Mus musculus: one gene and its partner. The protein of the gene in region 2 binds, or shares a complex with, the protein of the main gene of each other region. Links are inferred from orthologs where the notes say so. Each region holds a gene or a part of one and is shown on either strand. Other genes may lie near its edges.

Region 1 (4,423 bases), on a different chromosome or scaffold from region 2:
CCATCCTGGGCATCCGCATCAGCTCAGACTTCATGCTCTTCACCACAGCTGCATCCTGCTCTTGTAGACACAGCTTCTGCTCCAGGTCCTGTGAGAGAGAGAGAGAGTAAGCAGCCAGAAGAACTGCACACACAGCCTCTGTAAAACAGAGAGGCTGGGCTGAAAGACATGCAGGTCTTCAACCACGGAATGATCTGGAGAAGGCAGACAGACAGACATGGAGATCATGACAGTCAGTTTAAGAGAAGACACAAAAAAATGGAGGTGTCAGAAGCTAGGGAACCTGCTCGGTCAGTAATCACTTGCCATGCAAGAAAGTATGAGGCCCTAAATCCCCTCAATGCTTCCTAACACACACACACACACACACACACACACACACACACACACACACACTTTTTTTTTTTTTAAAGACTGGTATAGTAACACAGGCTTTTAATCTCAGCACTCAGGAGGCAGAGACAAGTGGATCTCTGTGAGTTCAAGGTCAGCCTGGTCTACATAGTGATTTCCAGAACAGCCAGGGCTACATAGAACGACTTGCAGAAATAAATAAAGGAAGGAAGGAAGGAAGGAAGGAAGGAAGGAAGGAAGGAAGGAAGGAAGATAGATAGATAGATTAAATGAAAAACAAAGCCAACCAGACCTGTCCAGAAAAGAAAAAAGTAGATAACATCCTAAGGAACAACACTGACCCCCAGCATACATGTCAAACTCACAACTATCTGTAACTCCAGGCCCAGGGGATATGACGTCTCTGGCATGCCCGTACACCCGCATTCACACACACATTCTTACACATACATACCTACATATATACCTAATTTTTAATTAAATAAGCCTTTCTCTTTTCTTTTCTTTTTTCTTTTTTTTTTTTCTTTTCTTCTCTCTTTTTTTTTTTTTCCCTCGGTTTTTCGAGACAGGGTTTCTCTGTGTAGCCCTAGCCATCCTGGAACCCACTCTGTAGACCAGGCTGGCCTCGAACTCAGAAATCTGCATGCCTCTGCCTCCCCAAGTGCTGAGATTAAAGGTGTGTGCCACCACTGCCCGGCTGCCTCTTTTTTTCTTTTTTCTTTTTTTTTTCCTTTTTTTTTTTTTTCTTTTTTTAAGCAAAGCAAAGGTCTTCTAACTTGTCCTAGGACCTCAATGGTCTCCACAGTCCAGACAGTGTAGGAAGTGTTCCAAGGCTAACCCGCTATGCTGCATCCTCAACACCACCTCTGGAGCAGCACTGGAGCACCCAAGAGCCAGTACCCACACCACTGTCCCTCTTGCCTGTGCCTGGCCACACACCATCCAGCCCTCTGGTCCCCAACGGTTCAGTGCCACAGGCCCCTCTGGCCCGCTGTGGTCAGCTTCTGCCACGTGGGTGGTGAACCTGCAACCCTTGCATCTGTTCCCACTGTGCAGCAGGCGTACCTACACTGCACCTGTCACTATGACTCTCAACAAGGTAGCACAGGAACCTAGTGACAAGTCACTGAACAAGCTATATATAAAACCAGGACCAAAACAATTGATCAGGACCCTTCATAGAGCCCAGCTCCATCCAGGTAGAGTCAAGTAGTGGGAACAAAGAGACAGAGAAGACCAACTGGTCAACCTCTATGCACAAGGGAATTGTGAGAGGTAAGAAGGTTGGACTCGGGCCTAGGGAGAAGGCTCAGCAACTAACAATACTTGCTGCTCTTCCAGAGGACCCAAATTCAGTTCCTAGCATCTGGTTAGGCAGCTAGCATCTTAACTCCAATTCCAGGCCTCTTCTGATCTCTGCAGACACCCATACCCACACATATAAAAATAAAAATTGATCTTTAAGCAAATAAGTCCAAAAGACAACAGAGCCAGGTAAAGCAGTGCCAGAGGCACAAGGAGCAGAGCCTACTGCCTTGGTGCTCACACCACACAGAGAGGGAGACAACTGACACAGTCTCCTTCCCAGGACTGGCTATCACAGTAAAGGCAACAGGAAACCATGGAAGGGAGGTCTCGGCGGCGGCACCTCTCCAGCAACACCCACCAGAATAAAGGAGGCTGAACTTAAATCAGAGCCCTGGAGTGGTGATCTCGCTCGGCCATGCTTAGCTGTGCAGACTTGCACAGGATCTCCACCCCCAACTCTACTTCATGGAGCACTCGCTCTCAAACTCATAGTGTCTCATCTTGGCCTCTGTGGCTGGGCTCTCTAAGCCTAGATTGCAGTCCTCTGTGTTAGCCTTTTCCCATGGATTTCTAGTGGGTCGTCATCACTGGGGCACTTGAGCACTCACTGTGGCCTCCAAGGAGCCAGCACAGGGCCTGGCATCCACAAGGCAATCAGCATGCATCCTCATATGCCACTGAGCACACGTCTAGGCAGGAAGGTGTGTGAGTGACAGGAGGGCTGTCCCACCCCTGCCTGGTATAGGAAGCTGCACAGTCTGGCAGGAAGCATCTACCTTAATCTTCTGCTCATGCTCAGCTCTCTCATCTTGACTGGCCTGCAGCTCCTGGATCTTCTGATTTGCCTCTTGCCATTTCCTGTGAGAGAAGTACATGCAAGGTCAGTCCATAATGCCACTTTAACCTTACCCCTAGCCTGGACACACACACACACACCCCTTATCCAGGGAACCTCAAGTCCTAAGCCAACCTTTAAGACTGTGACATTGTCTGATGGGGCTACAAGGGAGCCCAGGCTTCCTGTGGCACGACCTAGTTCTCTATCCACCACTCAATCCACAGTGTCTGCTAGCCTGGCGTCACAGCAAGCATCAGAGGCCACCCAGGCCTGCCCACACTAAGGGTACAATCCTAAGGCAATGCCTGCCCTAGGGTAAGGGCCAGACCTTCAAGGCAGAATCCAAAGGCTCCTGACTGCCACCCACTAGCTACCACATATCTGTGTCCTCTGTGACCTAGAACAGCTTGCCCAAGCACAGCAGCCCACGCCCTCAAAAACCTAGCGTAGCTTCGTCCCTCTGTGGAAGCCAGTCCCAGGAAGAAGGGAACGAGGCTGTCACCGTCTTATTCTGACACACACTTCCCAAGTCCAGAGGCCTCGCTGTGTCCTCCATGCAGCCTTTGGACTGTCTTAGCGACTGGTCAGGCTCTCACCGCTGCTGCAGCTCCAGCTGCTCCTTCAGCTCCTGCTTTTCAGACTCCAGCCGCTTGACCTGTACCTTCTGGTCCATGGCACTCAACTGCAGCTCCGAGACACGCCCCTTCAATGAACTAATCATCTGGAAGTTAAGAAAGCAAAACTGGCTGCTCAGTGAGGCCCCAACTGCACGCAGACAATGAACCAAAAGTACCCAAGCACAGCTCTCCCTCACTGAGACCAAAGAGAAAGGAAGGGCAGTGTGCCTCCATGTGCTGCTCAGGACAGAACAGAGCCCCCTGTCCTCGAAGCATGTGGCGAGTAGACAACACTGTCTCTCATGAGCATCCCGGCTCAATGCCTGCCTTGTGCTCCACACCACTGACACAGATGAGGGTCAGAGCCTCTAGGGAAGCTGGTCCTAGCTACGTCTGATACTCTAAAGTCTATTAGCCTCCATACAGGGTACCACATCCAGCATCCTGGACCCCACATGTCTACTTCAGCATTTTCCACACCTCGGACCTCCATCACACTCCAAGCCTCCATAGCATCTGCATGTCAACATTCCAACATAACGTAACCCAGGATGGAAAGACAGCAAGGTCCTGGCCAAGATGTAGGTCATCATCAGAACTTAGCTTCAGAGCTCAGCTGGTGAAGCAGGCCTGTTAAGACAGCTACTTGGGAGGCTGAAGCAGGTGAGTTAAAAGTTTAATCGCCATGAAGGCTACAGAGTAGGTTCAAAGCCAATCTGAGCAGCTTACTGAGAACCTATCTCAAAATAAAAACTCAAAAGAAGGTAAAGCACAAGGCACACATCTCTAATCCTGGCGCTCAGAGGCAGAAGCAGGAGAACTATATGGGTCTAAGGCCGGCCAGCGCTCTAGAGTAAGATCTTGGCTTAAAAAATAAATGAATAGCCGGGCATGGTGGCGCACGCCTTTAATCCCAGCACTCAGGAGGCAGAGGCAGGCGGATTTCTGAGTTCGAGGCCAGCCTTGTCTACAGAGTGAGTTCCAGGACAACCAGGGCTACACAGAGAAACCCTGTCTCGAAAAATCCTAAATAAATGAATGAATGAATGAATGAATGAATGAATGTTGAAAACAGATATATATAAAAGTTGAAAACAGAGATAGGGCCCAGTTGTTAAGAGCACATACTACTCTTCCAGAGCACCCGGATTCAGTCCCCAGCACTCACACCGGGTGGCACACCTGTCTGTAATGCCAGCTCTGGGGAACACAATGCCTCCAGCACACAGCTTCCATGAGCACCTATATTCACATGCATAAACCTAACAAACTCACTGCTTCCCCACGAGTGTCTTTTGTCCCTTAC
Region 2 (5,094 bases):
CCCTTATTTATATATATTTCCAATACGTATGATGCACATATTTTAAATTCTAAAGAGAATATAAATCCGCAGTATATTACAATTCAACATGTCATTCTGCGGTTCACTATCAACACACAAATGCCTAGAAACTATTAATCTCTGTTTTTTCTCCCTTGGTGCACTGAAGCCTTCATTTGCATTGTTTTTCAAAGGTTGCATTGTGTGGTTAAACACTGCCCTCTTCTGGTATCTGGGATTAAATGTGTATCCACACAAAATTCTTTATGGTTTATTACTGCAAAATTTCTTGACAAGTTGTGTGTGTTATTAGTTAATAAGTAAATGTTTTTAGCCCAAATCAAGTAAACTTTTTCTCAAATCATAACCACAACAATAAGGAATCTCATTTGCATTTTTCAAACAAATATGCTATAAAAGGAGACTAAACTAGGGAGTATACATTCTCTAATAAATCTGCCACTAACTAAAAACTGGATCTTGAATTAACTGTGCAACCACTCTAGATCTACTATACTATAATTTGATTAAGTCATTAATGGATTTCTTCAGCCTCAAACTTTATGTGCTTCTAGATTTAGAAAAAAAAAATACTTATTTTAATACCAAGGGGGGGGGTCAATTTCTATTCCTCCCTGTTCAAACATTCTTACCCTAAATAATACACAGCAAGAGTCTACAAAATTGTGAGTCAAAGTAAATATGAGAAACTGAGAATTTTTCAAGTATTTTATAGTATTGCTTTTAATAAATGGGGAGAGAGGTAATGTTAAACCACGCAGTCAAAAGGAAATAGGAAAGAAATCAACCATCAAAGATTCCAGATCTTTTAATGTTTCTGAAATAAATTAGATTAAGTCCAACCACCGTTTGGTAAGAAAGAGCTAGTACCTCACTTTTATCTATACCACCATTTCTTTCCTCCTCATATGTCACAGTTTCTTTCTCTGATGTATTGTTTATACAACTTCCCTGGCATCTGTTTAGTTCAGGCTCTAAACCTTCTTCTTTCTTCTCCTTGTTCTTTCTTCTTCTTCTTCAAAGATTTATTTATTATTATTATTATTATTATTATTATTATTATTATTATATATAAGTACACTGTAGCTGTCTTCAGACACACCAGAAGAGGGCGTCAGATCTCATTACAGATGGTTGTGAGCCACCATGTGATTGCTGGAATTTGAACTCAGGACCTTCGGAACAGCAGTCACTCTTACCCACTGAGCCATCTTCTTAAACCTGCATATGATAGTATCTCTAATAGTCAACTGGTTTCAAAATGCAGTCTGAGTACCAGAGTTAGAACCATTTAGCATAGTTGGAAGATGTGCCATCTCCTGGACACAATACTACTGTACAATATTAAAACTGTAGCATGAATCCCATATGTAATCGTACATGCTCTGGTATAGGCCTTAAACGATCAAAAAGAAAGTACATATGACTAAAAACTTAAAAGCAAGCTAATTGCAAAAAAAAAAAAAAAAAAAAAAAAAAAAAGGAAATCAAGTGTCTCTATCATTTAAATCCTTTGTGGACTTATAAAATCTATGTAGTATAGAAAAATAAAGACATTACTAAATGATTATTAGTGTGTGTGTGTGTACACAATTTGCAGGGGTTCGCTTCTCTACTTGGTGACAAGCATCATTAAGCTTCTGTCCCACCTAGTTCCCTTCATCATATTTAACAAAACCAAAAACCAGGTTCTCCCAGACTTGAAACTATCCTCGAAGCTGAGACCATGCTTCAGGGATGCTCAGACCACGGGTTTGACAGGCAGGTAATCTCAGGACCATCTCTGGGCCGCTTCTAGGTCACCTCATCCGAGGTCCTGCACAGTACGGACCTTGTAGGTCACCAGGACCTGGAACAAGACGCCCCAACCACTCTGCGCTTGCTCATTCGGTCAGCCAGCGAGGGCGGAGCCAGGGCCGGATACAAGTCGCTTTGGGCGGGGCTTTAACCCGTGGTGCAACTGGGCATAGGGCGGAAGAGCCGATGTGGAGCGGAATGTTGAAGAGACCCGGCTCTCTAATGTGGGAGGGGCTTAGGGAACAAAACGGAAGCCTGAGGCGGCCTTAGGGAGGGATTCGGAGTTACAAAGCCAGCCGGAAACTGGCGACGTAGGTGGGGCTTAGGGCTCATTACGCCTGCGCACCGAGCAACCGGCGGGCTGCGTAGTTATTTTTGAACCGGGTGGCGGGGAATAGCTTAGAAGCCATTAGGGCGCCGTCTGCGGTGAGGTTGGTAGTGTTCTCCGTTCGATCTAGTGATGGCACAGCAGCTCGCCCGAGAGCAAGGCATCACCCTGCGTGGGAGCGCAGAAATCGTGGCCGAGTTTTTCTGTGAGTGCTGAGCGCAGCCCCCGCCGCCAGAGAGAGCTGAGGCTGAGCCGGGCCTTAGGACGCGCGCTAGGACGGAACCACGGATCCTCCCGGGGGCGGGGAACGCTGCACCACCCAGCGCAGGCCTGGGCCTCCTGGAACCTAACGGGGCTGACCTGGGTCATCATCTTACTCGCTCTCTGAAAGCTGGGGTCTGTGTTGACATCCTCTGACCACATGCTCTGTATTTACACTTAGCAAACCTGCGAAGTTGGACATTGCTGGGTTAAAGGTTTTCCGTGTCTTTTTGTGCCTACTCTGCTTTCTGGGAGACTTAAACGTTATTACACGGTTACGGCTTTATTTCTTTCGTTTTCAGCATTTGGCATCAACAGCATTTTGTATCAGCGTGGCATTTATCCGTCGGAAACCTTTACTAGAGTGCAGAAATATGGACTCACCTTGCTTACAACTACTGACCCCGAGCTCATAAAGTATCTCAATAATGTGGTGGAACAGCTAAAAGGTAATCACGTTTTCAGTGTGTGATCTTACAGGTTTGTGTCCCAAGTAACTTAAAGCAACATGCCTTCTCAAATGTCATTCTCAACTGGGAGGAAGCAAGCAATGGAGGGAATCCCCACCTCTTTTTAAGTAGGCTGAATGTCTTGATGTTAGGAATCTTTAAGCTGCTTTAAGAGTGGGTTTTGTAGGTTAACCAGTTGCAGCAAATTGGAAATTTTACCCGATTAAAAGGATTTCGCCATTCTGTGTTTTGCTTTGTAGCTCCCAATGAAATCATACAAAATACCAATTCTAAAAGCATTGCAACTGCCTTTTTTTCTCTTTGAGTTTTATTGTACGTGAAAGGGTGTTGTAGTTTGTTTTAATTGTAAATTCATTAACAGTGTTTATTGCTTTTTTTGTTAACTTCAGTATTAAAATGGCCTTTTGGTGGCCACCTGAACATGGTTAGCTTGGCATCTGTCTTTAAGGCCGTTTTGTTTTGCTTTGCTTTTGAGACAGGTCTCTTTATGTAGCTCTGGCTGTCCTTGAACATGCTATGTAGACCCGGCTATCGTTGAACTCACAAAGATCAGCCTGGCTCTACTCCCAAGTTCTGGGACTAAAGGCATTTGCCACTGTGTCCAGTTTAAGGCCAGACTTCTAAACATGCCTTGCTATTTGTATCCATAGTAGAGTATTCATCAACACTTGTGCAGGTTGGATATGAATTCACAGGCAAAAACGGCAGGGCTTTTAAGCATAAGATCTGCTTTGAATTCTGGTATCTGTGGATCCTTTTACCCCCTGCAGCTCACTTACTTGCAAGGATGATAGTTTAGAAACACAAGGCTAATTGGTCACTCTGTCCAAAACACAGTTGTGGCTTTCCTGATTCTTAAAAGTACAGTTTCATTAATTTAACTTGTAAGATTTTATATGACATAGCATCTTGACTTTTCATAATTATGTAATTTATTTACTTTATTGAAAAGAATTTACTTTTCAATTAGTCTGCCCATGTATGCATGTATATACATGTGTGTGTGTGTGTGTGTGTGTGTGTGTGTGCAGGCGTGCATGCATGCCCTTCCCATTTAAAACCTGTATTTGCCTCTCCTTTGTACAGTTAGTGTAAAAACTAATCTTTCCCTCACCTACCAGAGTAGTCCGATTTTTTATGCTCTTATAGTGTCTCTGTTGTGACCAGCCACCACAGATGTGACTGGCGGTGGTTAGATGAGTATATGTCATATGCTCTCACTGGGAATTGCAGAGAAAGTACAGGTTCACGGTTCTGATGCTCTGCCTTCTGCCTATTAGTAATATGGAGAATTTAAAACTCAGCTAAATTATTAGTGGAGAATTGTCTTCCTTATGCAAGAAAGGAAGTTCAATTGTGAGAGTTCTGTAAGGCCGAGAGTGGGTCTTTGGAAGAGAGTCTCTGTCATAGGCTAGAGTCTGAGCGCTGCCTTGTGTGTTGCAGAGTGGCTGTACAAGTGCTCAGTTCAGAAACTGGTGGTGGTCATCTCAAATATTGAAAGTGGTGAAGTCCTTGAAAGATGGCAGTTTGATATTGAGTGTGACAAAACTGCAAAAGAGGAAGGGTAAGTATGAGCTGAGTTATTCCTACCTTAATTTGTTTTTATGTTGTTGCATGAGTTCACATTGTATTGAACTGATTTCTTACAGTTACTGTCTATGGTATGTTTTTAAAGATACTTTTGTTCTTTTGTTAGCTTGTGAGGGATTTCTTTTTTTTTTTTTTTTTTTTTTTTTTGGTATTTCGAGACAGGGTTTCTCTGTATAGCCCTGACTGTCCTGGAACTCACTTTGTAGACCAGGCTGGCCTTGAACTCAGAAATCTGCCTGCCTCTGCCTCCCGAGTGCTAGAATTAAAGGCGTGCTCCGCCTCGCCCAGCTGTGAGGGATTTCTGAGTTCCTCATAGCCTGTCAGGGATTGTGTAGATAAGATACTTTCAGCATACTGCCTTTGGGAAAACCCCATGAGATTAGGCCTTCGTGTTTGTGGTTATACCTGAACCTCTCACAATATAATATATGTGGGCCATGTAATCACTGGCTTAAACGTACAGGAGATGATCCTAGACTCATTCCTAATTTAGATGAAGCTCTACTGTACTTCCCCTATTGCCGTGAACTTTGTAAACTAAAGATTGCAAGCACTCTACATCAGAAATGCCTATCATGCTAAGCATGTGCTTCTGGAAGGTACTGTAATGAAGAGCAGTTTGTTTCT

Evidence for each region. The genes of interacting proteins can lie anywhere in the genome.
Region 1: the proteins of Mad2l1 (region 2) and Mad1l1 are in contact, whole or in part, in a crystal structure (PDB 1GO4), measured with the Homo sapiens proteins. The link is inferred for Mus musculus from reciprocal best matches to the Homo sapiens genes MAD2L1 and MAD1L1. Residues at the interface, in NP_002349.1 of Homo sapiens: Tyr38, Leu61, Tyr64, Asn67, Val68, Trp75, Gln82, Lys83, Ser89, Ile91, Glu92, Ser93, Gly94, Arg99, Gln101, Ser150, Phe151, Asp152, Leu153, Leu154, Ile155, Tyr156, Thr157, Asp158, Lys159, Asp160, Leu161, Val163, Lys166, Trp167; in NP_001013858.1 of Homo sapiens: Glu527, Arg528, Ala530, Leu531, Gln532, Gly533, Asp534, Tyr535, Gln537, Ser538, Arg539, Thr540, Lys541, Val542, Leu543, His544, Met545, Ser546, Leu547, Asn548, Pro549, Thr550, Ala553, Arg554, Leu557.

What each region holds. Positions count from the first base shown.
Region 1 is NC_000071.6:140,300,477-140,304,899, forward strand, and holds part of Mad1l1 (mitotic spindle assembly checkpoint protein MAD1), read right to left. Parts: intron 3,222-4,423; coding exon 3,097-3,221; intron 2,521-3,096; coding exon 2,439-2,520; intron 89-2,438; coding exon 1-88. UniProt on the Homo sapiens protein: Component of the spindle-assembly checkpoint that prevents the onset of anaphase until all chromosomes are properly aligned at the metaphase plate.
Region 2 is NC_000072.6:66,533,249-66,538,342, forward strand, and holds the start of Mad2l1 (mitotic spindle assembly checkpoint protein MAD2A), read left to right. Parts: upstream 1-1,972; 5' UTR 1,973-2,278; coding exon 2,279-2,351; intron 2,352-2,709; coding exon 2,710-2,856; intron 2,857-4,320; coding exon 4,321-4,441; intron 4,442-5,094. UniProt on the Homo sapiens protein: Component of the spindle-assembly checkpoint that prevents the onset of anaphase until all chromosomes are properly aligned at the metaphase plate.